Cricetulus griseus: one gene and its partners. The protein of the gene in region 1 purifies or fractionates together with the protein of each later gene. This does not show direct contact. Links are inferred from orthologs where the notes say so. Each region holds a gene or a part of one and is shown on either strand. Other genes may lie near its edges.

Region 1 (6,884 bases):
TGCCAGTAACTACACTAATTTGCTGAAATCAAGTCTTTATGATAGGCAGGCTTTATAGTTCACATGCAGGAGCCTCTATATCCTGGTGGTTGAGAATATGCTTATGATAGAAACCAGGACATAACAGAGAACATTGCCAAGGACTATGAGGGGATCAGTTATAAAAGGGTTCTCTTCAGGAAGTGTTAATGGAAAGCTAGAGTAAGACTATAAAAGACATTCCAGAGAAAGGCCATTTCCAGCTCATTGGAGACCAGTAAATTCTCCTGAATGAGCCAAGCACATATGAACACTCACAGCATCTATTCTTGTTGCCAGAATTTTAGCAACCAGAATTTATTCTGGAAACATTATCCCAATAATGGGGCTAGGAAGTCACATAATAGACACTAACATAGTATGGATGGTAGTCTTACAATGTATGGGGAAAATGAACTGGGGAACCAAGACACAAGACAGAATACTTTTTTTAAAAAATGTATTTTATGGCCTGTCATGTGGCTCAGTCAGTAGAGTGCTTGCCTCTAACTCAAGATGGCATACACCTATAGCCCAGGCATTCAGAAGGCTACGATTAGTTTATACTGTAAGTCACACTGTTTAAAAAGTAATTTAGTTATTTTAATCATTTTGTCAGGGTTTGGGGTTGGTTTTATAGGCAGGGTTTCATATAGCCTTGAATTCCTGACCTTCTTGCCTCTACCTCATAAATGTCAAGTTTACAGGAGTATATGAACCATGTCCTACTCAACTATATAATTTTGAGAAAAGGTTTCCCTGTAGTTCTGGCTGTCCTGGAACTCACTCTGTAGAGTAGGCAGGACTCAAATTCACAGAGAACTGTCTGACTCTGACTCCCAAGTGCTGGGGATAAAGGTGTGTGACATCATGCTCAGCTCAACTTCATCATTTTTAAAACTTATCACTCACAGGAAGTCCCTACCTAATCTGTAAAGTCTTGACATCTCATGGGAAAGGAACCAGCTGTTTAATAATGAAAATGCTAACTATGAAGTGAGGCTTACTTAATGCTTATGGAGAGGGGTGAATTAAACAAAACTAAGGATAAGAAAAAAAAAACATGAAAAGCCACTACTTTGTTAACTAACTCAAAAAATATATAAAGTGGCCCCCAACATATCTTACAGTTGTATTACTCTGACAGAGGAGCTGAATTCCATTTTCAGCACCCATGATGGGTGGATTTACACCCACCTTTAACTCCAGCTTCAGGGAATTCAACACTCTTTTCTTTCTTCCACAGGCACCTGCACTTACATGTTCATGCCCGCACACAGACACACATGTACATGTACTTAAAAAATAAAATCTTAGAGACAGACAGACAGACAGACAGACAGACAGACAGACAGACAGACACACAAACACAGAGAGACCGGGGATTCTGAACATAGGTACCCTGTATGAGTGGATGTTTCCCTTAGAAGACATAGATTATGAAGTGAAAATCTCAGTGCCAGGTGTGGGAAAACTCCCTATGAGAGTTATAAGTCAGGGAGGCCCCCAGACAAGAAGCTTCACCATTGCCCATCATAACGGAAGCCCCATTGCTGATGACACACATTTTGGTTACCGGACACAGAGAAATCAAACTGAGTTGACATACAAAATTCCCGCCTTCTGGCCAGCTTTCACAGTGTCAGAAGGTTACGTAGGTTGTGTGAGGAGGAAAATTACTAATATTGACCAAAAAAGCAAGATAGTCCCACATCTGGTACAATAGTGATGTGAAGATTATGAGGTTAACCCACTGCTTTCTGACTGGACTTGAGGCCTGCTCCACAGAAGGGAATTCCTATCTGGTACTGTAAAGCTGAAAACCCGTGGCTGGCGAGGTCATAGGCCATGGGGGACAGGGAGACCTATTACTGTTGTTTTGCTAAGCAGACATGTGATTTTTAGGTTGTATCTATAATTAATACTATATCATGTAAATATTTAGGTTATATCTATAGATTCACACACTCTCAGCCTTGGTCATAGAGACTTCTTTTTACGGTGGCAGTAAATGTATCAACATAACTGGTCAAAGTGTGGAGAACAGGTAACTGCTGAGTGTTCAATCTTAAACAGAATATCTATTCCAACCTTCCCCCGCCTCTCCCCAAGTCTCCAAAGTTCAGGAACATTGTGGGAGATGGGGCAGAAAGGATGTAAAAGCATGGGAAGGGGAGGAGTGCTGTCAAATTCTGTCTTCTGGATATGGCACTCACGAATATACTCAAGTTATGGCTACCTGAACAAGACCTTTGAAAAGAGCAAGCCAATACCATTAGTCACCACTCCAGCAGCTACATCAACTAACTGGACTCAGTGAGTTACTGGATGTGGGAAGGGGCATGTTGGTGTGTGTGTGTGTGTGTGTGTGTGTGTGTGTGTGCTCGCGCTCGCGTGTGTATCTGCGGGATTTTGGGTAGGTATGATTACACTGTATGTGTATGAAACTGACAGAGAGTAAGTAAAAGACTTTTTAAAGGGGGGAAAAGGCTAAATGACAGCTCAGAAAAAAATGGCCGTCAACATTATGCTCCCCAGAGGCTACTTTATGAGTGACTGAAGTTTAAAGCTAAAGTATTAAAAGCTATTAGTATTTGCCAGGAATGGTCACCCATGTCTGCAATCCTAGCATGTGGGAAGTGGTGGCTGAAGGAGCATGAAGGAGTTCAAGATTGCCCTCAGCTACATATTGAGCTGGAGACCAGAATACCTCAACTTCCAACTCCAAAATTTTATGTTGACGTTTTGTTAAATGCTTTGGGTACTCATGAGCTTAATCAAACTAAGGGGAAACAATAAAGAATATGTAAGAAATGTGAACTTTTAGAAATTTAAAATATTTCACAAGGAAAAAAAATGACAAAATTTAAGCATACATGCAAAGAGTAAAAAACATAAGGAAACAACTTTAAAAGCTATTTGAGGTAATGCAGCAACCTACAGACTGTCAGACTCTGACACCCACTAGTTTTTGGTGTGTTTTTATTTTTGTGGTTACTTATTTATTTGAGATAGGGGATGATGTAGGCTTGGCAAGCCTGAAACTCCCTCTGGAGCTGAAGATGACCTTGAATTCTGATCCACCTGTTTTCATCTGCCAAAAGCTGGGGTGAAGGGTTCCAGCCCTCAAGAACACAAGTCTGATGTACCATATCCTTAGTCATGGGAACTATAAGGTCGTGCATTTTAAATGCTGGGAGATAGATTCTCAAAGTCTGCTCTTTCTCCCTGAAGGGAGGCACAATGCTCCCCTGGTTTCAGAACTTCGGTAAAGTTCCTTCAAACTTGTATGATTCATAAGAGTGGCAAAAGGCTAGAATCCCAGTTTTCTCACCCGTTCGTGAAGTGCTTTTCCTACTTATACCATCCAGCTCAAGGAACCATGGAGAGAGACAGTGAGGCAAGATGACAGTTCAGGCTCGCTAGCCCAAGAAGGTGGAAAGTAGGTTCTCTAAAGGTCTTGTTGCTTCCTCAAGCCAGTTTACTCCCGCGTGAGCTTGGCTTCCTTACCTGCATCTGACTTAAGAGCATCATGGCCCACCCACTTTAGTGTCAGGTCCTCGGAGGCTTGTTGCAAGCTAGGTAACCCACCGTCCCACCCTCCAGTTCAGCAAAGACGTGTCCATAACTTCAACCCCAGCTTGGCACTCACTCCCTTCCTCGGAGTTCCGTGACTCTACTACCGCTCACAGCCACTTAACTCCTTCCAATGCACAAACGTAGCATTTGGCACTGCAACCAACTCCTGCTCTTGTGGGCACTCTGGCTCCGCAGGGCCAGCCCGGCCCTCACTGCCCCTCCGTCCCTCGGCTCGGCAGTGCCGCTCCCTCACTGCCCCCTCCTCGATGCCACCCGCGTCCTTCTCAGCAAAGGCCGCCCCTCGGGCCCCGTGCCGCGCGGAGCCCCTTCCTCACCCGGCCATCACAGCCCCGATGAGGTACAGCAGCAACAGGCAGAAGGTGCTTAGGTTCTGCGGGGCCATGGTGTCGCCTGGTCCCGCACTCTCAGCCTCCCGTGCCGCTGCGTCTGCTGACCAGCCCTTCCGGCCCTGAGAGGCCGCCTCACGCCCGGGTCTCTTGCCGGGCCGCCGAGACAGCTAGCGCGCCCCCTCCTCAGCTGCCACTTTCCGGGAGCCCCAGAGCCGGCGAGCAGCCAGGCATGGGCCAATCGCCGCCGGGGACATCACACGCGGCCGCCACTCCGCAGCCAATCAGCGCGGTACACTTCACCTCCGAGGCGGCTCGGACAGCCAGTCAGACAACGGAACTGCCGCCGCTGCTGCCGGCCAATGGGAAGAGGAAACGTCAGAGGTTCGCGCCGCCCGGAAGTGCCTGCGAATAGGAGAAAATCTCAGGCGGAGGGGAGCGCGCTGCGAGGAAACCCGAGTGGTCCACCAATCGGGAGACTCCTTCCCAGCTCTGACCAATTGCTCGCAAGAGGTCTTAACTCGGTTTTCCAGTCTGGAAACTACGTCGCGTGCGCCCGGGACGCGCGGGATCCCTGAGGTGCAACCCCAGGAGGGTGGGCGATCACTCGGTGTCAGAGTACTTGGGGCGCCTTACCTAAGGATGCGATCTCACAGTACAAATTTAGTACATATAGTCTCGATTTCGTAGAAAAGAGGCCCGGTACCTTATAGAGAAGCCGCCGCGGAGACCGACTTAAGTTCAGATTCGGCTTCCAGCACTTCGCAGCGGTGAGACATCCCCACCCCCACCCCGCTTCCGAACCCGTTTTCGACAAAACTTAAGGCGTGGCGGCGTTCACTGGTAGTGTTGGGAATTTTTAATTGACATGTTTTCTGTAAGTTTTCCAGTAGAGTTGCACATAGTAAGCATGCAATCAATAAAAGCCGTTATTATAGTTCGGAGCAGAGCTTGTTCGTTGGTTCTTTTCTCCAGTTTTGTTAACTACAGAAAGCTAGTTGTTTAGCAAAGCCTCTCCTCTTAGCTTTGCTTCCTACATGAGCTATCTAGATCTTTACCAATGAACGGTATCTTGATTATGTCCAGTACAGCTCCATCTCTGGCCCAAGTCACAATTATCTCTTGCTTGCAAAGGTCTCTTAACGATCTTCTCCCTCCAAACTTTATATATCGATCCATTATTTTAATGTACTCCTACTCTCCACCCCATGATCGTGTGCATGCGTGAGCGCACTAGGGACCTGGAGACCACAGATTAGACTAGGCAGGTGGACTTGGAAGACCAAGGTCCTGTCTCTGTCTCCCCAGCTCTGGGGTTTCAGGCGGTTGTTGCCGCAGTTGCTGCTATGCGTGGAATTCAAGGTCTCCTGTTTATACAGCAAGTAAGTGGCAAGCTTTATGGACTGAACTATCTCCCCAGCGTCCTCGTGATTTTTAAAAAGTATTTCAGATCATGTCACTCTCCTGCTTAAAAGCCTCTAATGGCTTTTCAATGTACTAAAAGTAAAATGTCAACTCTATTGTAACTTACAAAGCTGTCTAGTTTAACAATCAGTATCCTCACCTCTTAAAATGTTCCAGAATAATCAGCTTCCTTCCTCCTTTTAAAAAATTTTCATTGTATATATTCATTGCATACGGCACTTTCTTGCATCAGCAAATTATGTACACGGAGCATATTCCTCCTCTTACCATATACCCTCCTACCTTTTTCTCTCTGTTCTGTTATCCCCTTCGTTTCTCTACAGTTCTGCCTCTACTTTCATGCCATATATATATATACGTATGTAATTTTAAGTACCTATATAAAATCTAGGAACCAAAACGAAAGAAAACATGTATCTGTCTCTCTGAGATTGGCTTAATTCCCTTAAGATGAATATTTCCAGCTGTATCCATTTTCCTGTAGACAGCATAACTGTATTCTTTATGTTGGAAAAAAGATCATTGTGTACATAAACTAAACTAGGTTAGTTCTGTAACTTAGCTATTGTGAATAGTGCTGGAACAAATATGGATGTTTTATCAAAACCTTTTTCTGCATTAATGAAAAAAGGCTTATTTTTCTGTGCATGGGTTCTTTGCCTGCATGTAAGCCAGTGCATGCCCGTTGCTCAAGGAGGCCAAAAGAGGTTGGAGGATCCCCTGGAACTGGAGTTGCAGATGGATGTGAGCAGCCATTTTGGTGCTCGAAATCAAATCCAGGTCTTACAGAAGAACAGTAAATGTTCTTAACCTCTGAGCCATCTCTGCAGCCTGGCTCGAAAGTGTTGTATTGAGAATTTTTACATCGTGTTCATTAGGGAGATATATCTATAATTTTGTTTCTTTGTAGTATCTTTATCTGGTACTAGTAGTAGGGCAAACTGATTTTATTTCTAAAAAGTTATTTTATAGATTACTTTGAGAAATGTTGGTGTTTTTCCTAAAGGTTTGGTAAAATTCTGCAGTGAATCTATCTGGGATCTGGGCTTGGGCTTGTCTTAGCCACTGTTCTATTGCTGTGAAGAGACACCATGACCAAGGCAACTCTTACAAAATAAAGCACTTAATTGGGGCTTGCCAACAGTTTCAGAAGCTTAGTTCATTACCACAATGGCAGAGATCTTGGTGACATGCAGGAAGATGCTGGAGCAGTAGCTGAGATCCACAAGCTGAGAGAGAGAGAGAGAGAGAGAGAGAGAGAGAGAGAGAGAGAGAGAGAGAGAGAGAGAGAGAGAGAGAGAGAGCGCACCTAGGCCTGGCAAGGGCTTTTGAAACCTTAAGTCCACTCCCTAGTGACACTCTTCCTCCAACAAGGTCACACTTAGTCCTTCTAATCCTTTCAAAGAGTGGAGACTGGTGACTAAGCATTCAAATATATGAGCCTATGAGGCCATCTTTATTAAAAAAAAAAAGAAATCCACCACAGAACTCTTTTTAGTTGGAAGATTTTTATTG
Region 2 (6,884 bases), about 6.2 Mb from region 1:
CTGTCTGTCATGGAGCTTATGTCCTTGCCATCTTTGACTCTAAGTGCAATGGAGAAAACCATGTCTTTCTTTTCTTTTGAGTCAGGGACTCAAAGATAGCCTTGGACTCTTTTTTGTTGTTGTTGTTTGTTTTTTGTTTTTTGTTTTTCGAGACAGGGCTTCTCTGTGTAGCTTTAGAGCCTATCCTGGCACTCGATCTGGAGACCAGGCTGGCCTCGAACTCACAGAGATCTGCCTGCCACTGCCTCCCAAGTGCTGGGATTAAAGGCATGTGCCACCAAGGCCTGGCACTTTGGACTCTTTTTTGTTTGTTTGTTTGTTTGTTTGTTTGTTTGAGACAGGGTTTCTCTGTGGCTTTGGAGGCTGCCCTGGAACTAGCTCCTGTAGACCAGGCTGGTCTCGAACTCTCAGTAATACATCTGTCTCAGCCTCCCAAGTGCTGGGATTAAAGGCGTGCGCCACCACCACCTGGCCAGGAATCAGATTTCTAAATTTCAGGTTTTCATATTTTTATTACATTTATTTATTTGTGTGTGTGTGTGTGTGTGTGAATGCCAACCTTCCAAGTTTGTCTTGAGCAATTGATCATTGGTGTTTCCCTTTTTATTTTCTTTTTCAAAACAGAATTTCTCTGAGTAGTCCTGGCTGTCCTGGAACTCACTCTGTAGACCAAGCTGGCCCCAAACTCAGAGATAGAGATGCCTACCTCTGCCTCCTGAGGGCTGGGATTAAAGGTGTGTGCCACCACCACTTGGCATTTAGTGCTGCCTTTTATTGAGCCTTGGAAACTTGAAGGAGGAGTAGTTTAAGGGAAAAGACAATTCTGCCTTAGACATGCTAAATTTCAGATCTCTATTGACATTTCCAATAAGACATTTTCAGTGCATCTTGGATGCTGGACCTAGATCATTTAAGGGCATGATCTTCCAAGTGCAGAATAAGGTGCCTTATCCCATGTGTAATCCAAAATATAATAACCCTGAAATGTGAAAACTCCACATTGAGTTGTAGATGTAGCTCATCAGTAGGTCTTTTGTTTACCCTAGGTTAGGCCTTAAGTTCAATTCACAAAATTACACACAAAACCTGAATTACCAGGTTGCTGTCATTAATGACTTCTCTATTTTCTGAGTGCAAAATTCTGGATAATTGAATTCAATATGAGTTTTTTCAATCTTTGAAAAATGGTCTCTTGACATGTGAAGCAAGCTTGTTACTAATTTGAACTAATAAAAAAATAAGGAAAAAAACTTGAAAAAAAAAGAAAAAAGAAAAATGGTCTCACATGTAGCCTTGGGTGGCTTGGAACTTTCTATATAGGATATATTGGTCTGAAACTCTGAAACACGAATTAATTTTGTTGTCTGCCTCCTAAGTGTGCTACTACGTATGTCTGGCCTAAAATTTTTTTAATTTTTTTTTGTAAGAGTCTTACGTAGTCCAGGTTGGCCACTAACCTCAATCTTTCTCTTTAACTTCTGGCCTCCACCACTTGAGTGTTGATATGCTAGAGATCAAACCCAAGGTTTTGTGCTAGTTAGACAAGCACTCTACTGAGACACATCTCCGGCCCCTAAATAGAAACTTTAATGAGTATCTAGCTAGTGCTCCAGGTACATACTTCATCAGCCACTTGGTAATATAGCCTGTAAGCAGTTCCTTTGTGGATCCCCAACATAGAAAAAAATTATATATATGAGTGACAGCTACCAGCTGTCTTTTGATGACTCATCCAGCAACCTTGATATTCTGCCACCAAATCACTCAAGTAGCTGCATGGCCAAGGGAATTCAGAAACCCTGGGATCCAGGAGCTGACATGACCCAGTGACAGTTAAACTCCTGGGGTCAGGAGATTTCAGTAAGTGGGATCTGTCCGCTTTGTGACCACAAAATCTAGTGATTCACAAGACTGTGCACATTTACGCCCAGGACTGAAGTCCAGGGGCCCAGTGTCAAAGGGGTTCCTGAACCTACCCCCCCCCCCCAAGGGCTTACGACTGGGGCCAAATGACTACTGGCCACAAACCTCGCTGTGCGCCACTCTGAGGCCTCTCGGAGCTGGTCGCCGCCGCCGCCGCCGCTGCTCTCTGGGCGTTCATTGGCGGGTCCTCGGAAGCGTGGACCAGTTAAAACCCTCCTGGTGTCTTCAGCTCCCCGCCCCCCAGCCACCTCCTTGAAAGCTGGGGGGTGGGACCGCTGCACAACGACCCAATCCTAGTGCAGGAGGAGCGCGCGCGGGCAGGCAATTGGCTGCTATGAGAGGGCGCTGTCAGAGGCGGATTGGCCGGTGTTGAGGACGGAAGCGCTGAGGTCCGGAGCTGCTGGAACCCGGCCGGCCGTCGCGATGCGGGGCGCGAGTCGCGGCGGGGTAGCCGGGGCGCTACTGGTGCTGCTGCTGGTGCTGTCGGTGCGCAGCGGTGACGCGTCCAAGGCCAGCGCCGGGCTCGTCACCTGCGGGTCAGTGCTGAAGCTGCTGAACACCCACCACAAAGTGCGGCTGCACTCACACGACATCAAATACGGATCCGGTGCGCAGGGGTAGTGAGTGACTGGGATGGGCACCGGGGCCGGGCGGAGGCTTAGAGGCCAGGTGGTCCTAGTGGGCTCTGCGGGCTGTCAGGGAGCTGGGTAGTTGCGAGTCTAGACTCGCTTGCAGGGTCGTGAGAGGCAAGCCGCGGGCATTGAGGATGTGGAGGGTCCGGCGGGGGCCTCGACTGGGGTGAGCCCTTGGGATCCTGAATTAGTGGGGGCTGTGGGAGGAACTTGTTAGTGTTCAAGACGAGGATCCCGAGATCTGCAATTGACAGAGACCACGGGGTGGGCTGTCCCTCTCCAGGCAGCGGCCAACAGTCGGTAACCGGCGTGGAGGCGTCCGACGATGCCAATAGTTACTGGCGGATTCGTGGCGGCTCCGAGGACGGGTGCCCGCGCGGGCTCCCAGTGCGTTGTGGGCAGGCAGTGCGGCTCACGCATGTGCTCACCGGCAAGAACCTGCACACGCACCACTTCCCGTCGCCGCTCTCCAACAACCAGGCAAGCCCCGTTCCGAGCCCCGCCGAAACTGAGCGGGCAGGAACCCGAGCGACATCGGGAGGTGTGAGGGAGGGAGCCGACAGGGGACTCAGTCTCAGCTGCAGTGAAATGGGAGTTTTTCTAATCAGAAGTTTATGAAGCCTCCGCTCTGCGTCCTGTCCTCAGGAATTTCTACCCCAGAGTTAGGAGAAGGACTGAGAAGTCAGAGATTGATTAGCTCCTATTTGGACACGAGGGGGACTCACAGCAGATAAGTAGTAGAACATTGAAGAAAGGAGCACCTCGGGCTGGTTCTGAAAGAGAAGTAGGAGCTTTCCCCCAGACCTTTCCCTCTGTGGCATAGCTCCTGCTGAAGCATATGGTCACTGCAGCTGGTGGGGGTGGGGGGCATGAGAAGGAACTGACAGTGCTTTGGGAGAGTTTCTGGGGGGAAATGTTGGCGATAGGGAACATGGCTGTTAGACTGGGAAGAGCTTGGGGGATGTGCCTTCACTAGGTTAGCACAAGAAGCCTTTGGAGACCGTGGTGGAGCACACCTTTAATCCAGCACTCGGGAGGCAGAGATAGGCAGATCTCTGTGAGTTCGAGGCTAGCCTGGTCTACAAGAGCTAGTTCCAGGACAACCTTCAGCCTCCAAAGCCACAGAGAAACCTTGTCTCCACCCCCCTTCCCCCCAAAAAAGAAACCCATGGAGAGAAGGTCTTAGCTCCAGAGGGCCAGTGGGCACTACAAAGACTGATTGATCTATGTGGTGCATGCCTTTAGTCCCAGCACTCAGGAGATAGAGGTAGGTGGATCTCTGAGTTCTAGGACAGCCTAGTCTATAGAGTGAGTTCCAGAATGGCCAGGGCTACACAGAAAAACCTGTCTTACAAAACAAAACAAAACAAAACAAACAAACAAAAAAGAGGCTCTATGCATCTGAAGAAACCTTCAATAGGATGGGAATTTTTTTTTTTTTTTTTTTTGGTTTGTTTGTATTTTGAGACCATCTTTCTGTATATAGCCCTGGCTATCCTGGAACTTACTATGTAGACCAGGCAGGTCTCAAACATCCAGAGATATGCCTGCCTCTGCCTCCTGAGTGCTGTACTTAAAGGCATGTGCCACCATACCTGGCTAGTGTGGGACTCTTTTTTGATTTTTCGAGACAGGGTGCTCTTCTCTATGTGACTGTCCTCCATACTTTACACTCTCAGGAGGTGAGTGCTTTCGGGGAAGATGGCGAGGGTGACGACCTGGACCTGTGGACAGTACGATGCTCTGGGCAACACTGGGAGCGCGAGGCCAGCGTCCGCTTCCAGCATGTGGGCACCTCTGTGTTCCTGTCGGTCACTGGTGAGCAGTATGGTAACCCAATTCGTGGACAGCATGAGGTGCACGGCATGGCTAGCGCCAATGCTCACAACACATGGAAGGCCATGGAAGGTATCTTCATCAAGCCTGGAGCAGATCTCTCTACAAGTCATGATGAACTCTGAGAACTGGATGGGTGAAGGGAGGGAGGGTGGCTGGGTAGGGATTCTGTAGGGCCACTCTTGTGTGAGACTTTGTTTGTAGAGTCCTCAAGTGCCTTTATGATTAAAAAATGTTGGTTTGTGTTTATATTTGCTGTAACCCCAGGGAAGATCTGGAGGTACCAGCCATGTCTGTCCATGTTGCCATCTCACCTGTCTCTAGGTACCTGTTCAAACTTTTTTTTTTTTTTTTGAGACAGTCTCACTATGTAGCCCTGACTGACCTGGAACTCACAGAGATCCACCTGCCTCTGCCTCCTGAGTGCTGGGATTAAAGGTGTGCACCACCACAACTGACCCCAAACTCTTTTATAAAATCATTCTTTACTAGTGTGAGTGCATGTTCTGTGTGTATGTTGGCACCTGTACATGCGTGCATGTGTGAAGTTTAGAGACCAACTGTTGATAGTTGATTCTCATATCCTACCTTTATATTGGTTCCAGAGATCAAATTCAGGTTGTCAGGATTGTGTAGCACACACTCTAGCTGCTGAGCTGTCTCAGTGGCCCCAAACCTTTATATTTATATTTATATTTATTTATTTATTTATTTATTTATTATGTCTAGTCTTCTGCTCTGCCTGCATGCCAGCAGAGGGCATCAGATCCCACTGTAGATGGTGGTGAGCCACCATGTGGTTGCTGGGAATTGAACTCAGGACCTCTGGAAGAGCAGTCAGTGCTCTTAACCTCTGAGCCATCTCTCTAGCCTTGACCCAAACCTTTTTTGATGCCTGTCGATGCATTGTAAATCTGCTTTGAACAGTCGTCTCTCCTGTCTACTCTACAGCAACCTCATAGCCATGGACCTCAGCTCCCAGTACTTGAACTTATTGTGTGGCCTTGGCCTCAGGGGCCCTGTCAGCTGGGATGGGACTCAAGCTCTCCAGTCCCCTCATTCCTTGCCCTCAGGACCCCACTCTTCTTCTGGTTGTGGCAGTCTTGAGATTTATCTCTGGCTGGGCACACCTCTAATCCCAGCACCCGGGAGGCAGAGGCAGGTGGATCTCTGTGAGTTTGAGGCCAGCCTGGTCGCCAGAGCGAGTTCCAGGACAGCTAGGGCTACACACGAGCTCACACATGCGTACGCTTGTGCTCATACACACAAAGATTTATGTTTGACCAAAGGCCAGTTGAGGGTTCTGCCCTATACTGGAAAGTAAGACCTCAGGCTCCCGTACTCTTGCTGTAAAGGACACTCTTCTTTCCCCAGGGTTCTAAAGAGCGGAAAGAATTAAGGCTGGAGAGATGGCTCAGTGGTTAAGAGCACAGTCTGCCCTTTCAGAGGACCCCCACCTTATGTCTTGTCAGGTGGTTCACAACTTGTAACTCCAGTTCCAAGGGAATTTCTCACGCCTCTCACCTCTCGCACATGTGCACAAACTCATACAGGCACATAATTTTAAAAAAGAGAGTAAATAGAATACCTCAAAAGACATCTCAGGGGAAGACAACTCAAAAAAAAAAAAAAAAAAAGAATAGGAATCTGAGGAGGCACAATCCCGGCAGCCAGAGTACTACAGTTTAAAGGCATGAATAGAGGGCTGGGGAGTTAGTTGGGTTGTGAACAGGTGCTTGTTGAGTGCAGTGGAACAGTTGGTACTTGGTGTGCATGAGGCTATGGGTAGAGTACTTTGCTAGCATGTACAAGGCATAAGACCCATTTCCAGCACCAAAATTAAATAAAATAACAGACACAATGTACCATACAGTCTAAATGAGTAAATAAAAACACAAGCAAAAGAAATAGAAGGGCTTACATTAAGCAAGCTAACAGCTCACTAGTGGTGTGTGTGTGGCCTCTAGAGGTAGTAGAAGAAATGACAGATTGTCTAGGCTTGGCCCCATAGGTCATAAGGACTTCAGGGAACTGCTGGGGATGGAAAGTGTTGATTTCCTGAGAGCCAGAAAAAGTCCCAAGAGGCTGGGGTTGTCTGGAAGGGACTTGGAATAGGGTGGGAAGAGCAGGAAACACACGGATTTGAGAAATCAGTAGACTTTATTAAAGCACATGGGTGAGACAAAAGCTGTAAGTCAATTGAATCCTCAGGGGCGGCAGTTATGTCTTGGATCATTACTCTCCTGCCCCATGAGACCCTCGTCTTCCCACTGACAAACTTTTGTTTTGAGACAAGCTTTCTTCATGTGACTTTGGCTGGTCTGAAACTAGACCCAGCAGGCCAGAATTCATAGAGATCCACCTGCCTCTGCCTCCTGGGTGCTGGGATTAAAGGTGTGCACCACCATGCAGCCAAACTTTTAAATGTTATCTTTTGATTGTGTGTGTGTGTGTGTGTGTGTGTGTGTGTGTGTGTGTGTGTGTGTGTAACTG
Region 3 (6,880 bases), on another chromosome or scaffold:
TCACTTTAACCTGTCTCCTGGAGTTCTCCTCTGACCTCCACAGGTGTGCTAGCACACAGCCCAACTCTCCCCTCTTGGTTCTGTAGTTAAGAATAAGGTAAAAGGAGTAAGAGAAGAGGAATTTAAACTGGACCTGGTTATTTAAGGAACTTATTTTTCAAGAACAGACATACAAAGAAGTGTAAGAATATCAGCAGCTGAGATTGAGAGAGTGTGCCTAACCGACACCAACAGTAAACTAAACGACAGTAAACTAACAGTCTAGCAATCGTTCTTCTCCATCTGTGTTTAGCTCTTACGTACAACAAGCAAGGTGGTCAAGCTTGAATGGAATGGATCTGCCAGGTAAAGAAAGTCAAAGAACAAAAGCATAGAAATTTAAGAGCACTTACAATGACGTGGCCGCAGTGAAGAACCACTAACTTGCAGAAAACAGAGAAAGGATACTGATGCCTCCCAAAGGCATGTCTTAAGTTCCTTATTCTGTGAATTCTAAGGTAGCCCATCAATGTTACACCATATATACCTCATCACAGCGCCACCTTTGCTGACCTGAGTCTTTTTTATATTCTAAAACTCCAAGCAACAAACTCATCATATTTATCTATTTTTAAAAGAGCCAGTTTCTAAAGATTCGGAAAGAGAAATAAATTTATGGTTGAAAATAAGAGTTTGAGTTCTGAAGGGCAGGGGTTTCCCTGGGATGTTTCTATGTAAACAAAGTAAAGTTGCTGATTACTACCTCAGGAAGGCAGGTGTGGTGGGTGGGCTTTTATCCCAACACTGGGAAGACAGAGAGGTGAGAGATCACAGGTTGGGCCCATCCTGTTCCACATATCAAATTTCAGAGTCCATCCAGGCCAGTCTGGGTTACAGAGCAAGACCAACAAAAACAAATCAAAATAAAACACCCACACTCAAAAATCAATCAGCCAATCAATTAATTAAAAGGTCAGGACAACAGAAAGGAAACCTAACCACAATTAACTTCACAAATACAACCTGCTTGCTCCAGGGCTTCTCATCTCAGCACAAGCCCACCAAACAGGTCGGAAGCCACTGCAGCTCCAGGCACCTTCTCAGCAATGCTGGCTGACTAGATGAACTGAAACACTCCCGACTTTATCATCTAGCCTGCTAAGTAATTCAAGATAAGTCTAGGGAGCTATCTGAACATCTGATTATACACAGTCTTAAAATCATTCATTTAAAAAGTTCTCTTCCTATTTAACTAGCATCAAAAAATCCTACAAAAGGTAATATACTCTTAATTTATCAGTTTAAGTAAAATATATCACAACACTTTGTTTGAACAGATTTTCAAGTCTTCCCCTGATGGCTAAAATATATGGATTAATCATCTCAATACAGTAGAATTTAAAAATGGGTTCCTGATATATATGTCAAGAAAAAAAAGATAAAACTACGCAACATAAAATGTTTTTCAGCCAGTATTCACACTCAAGTCACCCAATAAGCCATTAGCAACAAACTGAAGTAATCTTATTTGCAATGTGAGAATGCTCAAGTGGATACTAACGTTCTCTTTTTCTTTTATTTGTGTCTCTGTATGTAAGACGGACACTTGCTCCATTCCTCCAGTTGGATAAAGCTGTGATATCGGAGCCGGAGTCCCACCCTCCAAGAGGGCAGCTAGTACTCTTAACCCACTGAGCCATCTCTACAGTCCCTACAATTTTCCTCCTACTCAAAAATTCTGCTTTTTAATGCTTTAGATTTTTTTCAAAGGCTCTGAGAAAGACAATGCTAAGAGTCAGTCTTTCAATTCATGATAAGTGCTTTCCTTCTATGGATTACAACAGAAAAGCCTAGTTTGCAAGGGTGTTTTTAATTGAGAAGAAAAAAACAAAAACCAGTTAGGCTAAACATTAACAATATTTTCCATGATATGAAACTGCTCCACAGACCCTGTTTTCATGTTACTCTGCTTACCATGCCTCAAGTGAAGTACGGTACCACCTGACCTGCACACCACCCCCAAAACTGAGGTTAATGAGCTCAGAGAGAACTAACTTACTCAAGAAAATGCAAGCTAATAAACTTTGCTACTTTGTCTTGATAACTCCATCACCAAATCTAGGATCTAATCAATAGCAAGCCCCTAATTTAATTCCTACATATAATTGATTACACCAATGGTTCTCACAGTGTCGTCATCTGGAATCATTTTAGAAATGCACATTTTCAGGTTCCACCAAGACCTACTACATGAGATGTTCTGTAAGTGGGCCTAGAACTCTTAAAACAAAGTCCCCCCATGAGATTCTGATAGACAGCTGGCTAAAGGACCGCTGTTTGGGGAGAGAAAGCATTTTTTTTTTTTTTTTTAAGACAAAGCATCACACTATAGTTCAGATTGGCCTAAAACTCATGATATAACTCAGGCTGGTCTTAAACTCATGACAATCCTCCAGCCTCAGCCTTGAGTGCTGAGACCACAAATATGAGCCTGCACAGCTGGGAAGAACCACCATACTGAACCTGTAGGAAATCACCTTCCTGTGTAAAGTAAAATGCTTATTTTTCTCAGCTGCCACACTTAGAAATGCTTGAAAATGGTATAGACCAGTTCATACAGAAGGTAAAGTTTATTTTTAAAGATTTTATTTTCTCTCTCTCTCTCTCTCTCTCTCTCTCTCTCTCTCTCTCTCTCTCTCTCTGTGTGTGTGTGTGTGTGTGTGTGTGTGTGTGTGTGTGTGTGTGTGTGTGTGTCCAGGTGCCTACAGAACCAGAAAAGGACTCCTGGAGTTGGAATTACAGCATTGAGTAGCCAGATCTGGTGCTGGGAACCCAAATCCAGTCTTTGCAAGTCCAGCAAGCACTCTAACCATTGCTCCAGTCCCAAGATAAATTTTCATTAAGCTCTTAGAACACCAGTTCCCACGTGTGTAAAACAGAGTATCACGTATCTCCATGCAATAAGAGATGGCTTCCAAACAGGCTCTTTGCCTCTCAATCACCTGCTATTTTACACAGGTATTGCACCTGAGAAGCCAACACTCTGGCTGCCCCCCTGAGAGGTGCCATTAGCATGTCCCAGACAGAAAAACTCAAAGTTTTTCCCTTATTTTTTTTTTTTTACAGAAATACCACAGTAGGGAAATGAACAAACTACTGGGAAAAGTAAAGCACTTCTATACCTGAAAAAAAAAAAAAAAAGATCCTAAACATAACAGACAGCTTTCGTGCAAAATAAGCCATTTATGATACCTGAGCATGACTGATGCGGATGAAAAGAATTAGAAAATTAAAAAACTATACCGTATGGCCTATATATTAAAGTGGCCCAGGCCTTCAAATTCCAACCCCCCCCCCCCCCCCGCAATCTGAGGCTGGTTCCAATGTCTCAGTACTGTCACAGCACGAAATCTGATGTGAGGGCCAAAGAACATACGGCTATCAGGAAGTCAAAAACAAAACTCCTACCTTTAACTGAGATGTCAAAACTGGATAATAAGACTTTTAACAAAGAAAGGAAACCCACATACACCTTTGTGAGGATTTCGCCAAGAATTATTCCCAATTTCGGTTCCTCAATCCCCACCGCACCCCACCCCCAGCCATGGAACAGTCAACTGTTTACTTTCCTTGACAACTACCCCCACACACCAACCCCCTCTCCGGAGTGAGTGCAGGTCGGTGCCCAGGACACACAGCTCTGTCACAGCAGCGCAGTAACCAAGCTGGGAAGCGCTCGCTGCTCCACGGGCATTTGGGGCTTCAATGCCCCAGCCCTCCCCGCTCGCCCGCTCGCCCTCTCACACCCAGGCTGGGACAGGCCTCTTGTTTTGCTATTCTGTTGGGAGTAGCCCGCATTCCAGTCTGCAGGCCGGGGTGAAACGCAAGCGCTCCCCACCTTTCCAAGGAGACTCCCCCCTCCCCGACCCCAACCCCAAACCCACCCCGCCCCCGGGGACTAGAAAAAGTAGCCCCGGAAAAAAAAAGGAAAAGTTGAATGACGCCATGCTGGGAACCGTGGACCAAAGACCCGGAGCCCGCGACTCGGGAGCCGGGAGGGCGCTGCCAGCCCCGCGCGGGCTTCTCCGGGCACCGGGCTGAGTTGCGCACCGGACGCGGGATAGAGTGGTCAGGGCCGGGGTTCGATTCCCGGGGGCTCCCGCTCCCGGGCCGGCCCGTGCGAGCCGCCGTTACCCCTGCTGCGGGCGCCGGGCTCCAGGCTGCGCCCCAGGCCTCCATCCCGGCCTGCTCGCCCGCCTTCCCGCGGTGTCCCCGGCTCGCCCGCCCGCTCGCCCGCCGTGTCCCCGGCCCGCGCAGGGCCTCCGCCGCTTGGGCCAGCCTCGCGCCCCGGAGCGCCGCTGGCCCCGGGGCCCGGGCAGGCAGGGTCAGGGGCCCCGAGGCTGCTCACCTTCGTACTGCAGGTCCACCAGGACCAGCAGGAACGGGAACACCGCGCCCAGCCGGCTGCCCAGCGAGCCGGGGGCCACCATGTCCAAGGGCGCCGGGGCGGAGGAGCAGGAAGGAGCGCGGCCCAGCAGCCCAGCGCCCACCCGCTCGCCCGCTCGCCCGCGCGGCGCACAGCCAGCAGCCAGGAGCCCGCAGCCCGCAGCCAGCGTCCGCTCGCTCGTTCGCTCGTTCGCTCGCTCGGGCCTCGGCGGCGGCGGCGAGGGCGCCCAGAGGCGGAAAACGGCGGCGGGCGGCGGGGGCGGGCCGGGGACGCCACGCCCCGAGCGCCGCCGCCGCCCAATCGCCTTCCTCCCGGCCTGGGAGCGGCCCGGCTCGACGGGGTCGTGGTCGGCGCTGATTGGCCGCGCCGGCCGCCGCCCCGCCCCACCGCCGATAGGGTAACGTGGAAGCACACGGCGCGGCGGCGTCCGCAGGTCGTGGAGCTGTCAGCGGGCTCCAAACCGCCGCCGAGGCCGGGCCGGGAGGACGGGGCGGAGAGGACGGGGCGGGGCGGGGGGCACCCCCCCCCAGTCCGCATGCGCAGCCGGGGCGCCGAGAGCCAGCAAGCCCCGGTGCGGCCCGGGAAGTGCCCGGGCTTCCGCCATGCGCTGCTGCCCTGCCGGCGCCGGGGAAGGAGCCCGCGGACTGCCAAGGCTGCTCGGGGCGAGCGGGGAGCGGGGAGCGAGGAGGAGAGCTGGGGAGGAGGGGGAGCAAGGGGGAGAGCTGGGGAGGAGGGGGGAGCGAGGGGAGAGCTGGAGGAGGGAGGAGAGCTGGGGAGGAGAAGGGGAGGACTGGGGGAGGGAGAGCTGGGGGAAGGAGGGGGAGAGCTGGGGAGGAGGGAGCGAGGGGAGAGCTGGGGAGGAGGAGCGAGGGGGAGAGCTGGGAGGAGGAGGGTTAGGAGGAGGAAGGGGGAGGAACTGGGGGAGGGAGAGTTGGAGGAGGGAGGGAGAGAACTGGGGAGAAGGAGGGAGGGGGAGCTGGGGAGGAGGAGGGGAGAGCTGGGAAGGAGGAGGAGAGCTGGGGAGGAGGGGGAGAGCTGGGGAGGAGGAGGAGGAAGGGGGAGGGAGAGCTGGGAGGAGAGGAAGAGCTGGGGAGGGAGAGAGCTGGGGAGGAGGAAGGGGGAGAGAGAGCTGGAGGAGGGAGGAGAGCTGGGGAGAAGGGGAGGGAGAGAGAGCTGGAGGAGGGAGGGAGAGAGTGGGAAGGAGGAGGAAGGGGAGGGAGGCTGGGGGAGGAGAAGAGCTGAGAGGAGGAGGGAGAGCTGGGGAGAAGGAGGGGGGCTGGGGGAGGGAGAGAGCTGGGAGGAGGGAGGGCTCGAGGAGGGAGGAGAGCTGGGGAGGGGGCTGGAGGAGGGAGGGAGGGGGTGGGTATGTGAACCCTGGGTTAGGGAAGGGAGCTGTGAGCTGGGGTGAGGACTGGTGAGTAGGGGCTGAGGGAAGCCAGCTAGGACCCTGAGGTGCTAACAGACTCCGGGGTCATTGGTTCCTCTTAGCAAGCTGGAAGTGCCTGGGGCTCCCTGGGGATGCTGGCTGCTGACTAGATGCCCGCGACCTGACACTCTGGAGTCACTCCACCGAGTCTCACCTTGGCCTGGGCACACTCTTAAAGCCCCTGGCTGGCGCGGCCTTTCCGGTCTCTCCAAAGAAGCTTTCAGGGCCGCTCTGTTTTTACAGGGGTGGGTGGGTTGTCCCGCTGCCCAAGGCTTCCAAGTCTGCAGCCTATGACCTGCCCTGAGCCAATTATGTATTAGTGTGATGCACAGAACCATGGCGCATCTCTTGCTCCGTCTTCAGTGTCTGCTCTCTGCCTTGGCAGTTTGGAGTAAACTTGTCCCCTTTTGTCACCCACGGGAGCTGCTGTTCGGGTTTCTTTACCGCTTTCATTCGAACAGAAAGGAACTTGAACAAGAAGCAGTTCAAATTATTCAGTTAGGCTTTGATCATGGCTGTTTCTTCTGTTTTGAACGCGCTCTATAGACCAGCAGTTTTTACAAACAACGTGGGTTTATCGTCCAATGCATACATCAGTGTCACTTCGTGCTTTAGAAGAACTCCTGAGTTAGGGTGAATTTTGAATAAAAAAAAAAAAAAGAAAGAAAGAAAGATGAAGGACATGGCTGCTCTGAGGTACGGTGGAGGACAAAGTGTGTTGTAGGTGAAAGGGAGAGCATAGCCAGAGGCAGACATATCTGGGAGAGCCCAGAGTGGACATGAGCAGACTGAGCCATGAGAGGGGAACCAGGTACAGCAGCCAAGAGGGCAAAACGTAACCAGATTGGCTGGATTATATAGGGAAGAGCCTCTGGGGAGGGGCAGCCCAACCCCTGGACTGCAGAGTTCAGGGTAGAGGGAAGGATATGCCGAGCCGTACCCTGTAACAAGTAGGGACTGAGGGATGCTGGGAGAACCTGGCTCTAGGTTCTCTGATGTGTTAAATAGGCACCTTAGTCATTTGTCCC

The links.
Region 2: the proteins of Dnajb11 (region 1) and Sdf2l1 purify together in Homo sapiens (affinity purification with mass spectrometry; 3 studies listed by BioGRID and IntAct, counting the BioPlex papers as one, with this or other methods). This does not show direct contact. The link is inferred for Cricetulus griseus from reciprocal best matches to the Homo sapiens genes DNAJB11 and SDF2L1.
Region 3: the proteins of Dnajb11 (region 1) and Dnajc3 purify together in Homo sapiens (affinity purification with mass spectrometry; 3 studies listed by BioGRID and IntAct, with this or other methods). This does not show direct contact. The link is inferred for Cricetulus griseus from reciprocal best matches to the Homo sapiens genes DNAJB11 and DNAJC3.

The regions. Positions count from the first base shown.
Region 1 is NC_048597.1:65,996,374-66,003,257, forward strand, and holds the start of Dnajb11 (dnaJ homolog subfamily B member 11), read right to left. Parts: upstream 4,184-6,884; 5' UTR 4,001-4,183; coding exon 3,933-4,000; intron 1-3,932. UniProt on the Homo sapiens protein: As a co-chaperone for HSPA5 it is required for proper folding, trafficking or degradation of proteins.
Region 2 is NC_048597.1:72,190,422-72,197,305, forward strand, and holds Sdf2l1 (stromal cell-derived factor 2-like protein 1), read left to right. Parts: upstream 1-2,291; 5' UTR 2,292-2,346; coding exon 2,347-2,530; intron 2,531-2,838; coding exon 2,839-3,035; intron 3,036-4,234; coding exon 4,235-4,516; 3' UTR 4,517-4,652; downstream 4,653-6,884.
Region 3 is NW_023276807.1:268,949,019-268,955,898, reverse strand, and holds the start of Dnajc3 (dnaJ homolog subfamily C member 3), read right to left. Parts: upstream 4,594-6,880; 5' UTR 4,470-4,593; coding exon 4,388-4,469; intron 1-4,387. UniProt on the Homo sapiens protein: Involved in the unfolded protein response (UPR) during endoplasmic reticulum (ER) stress.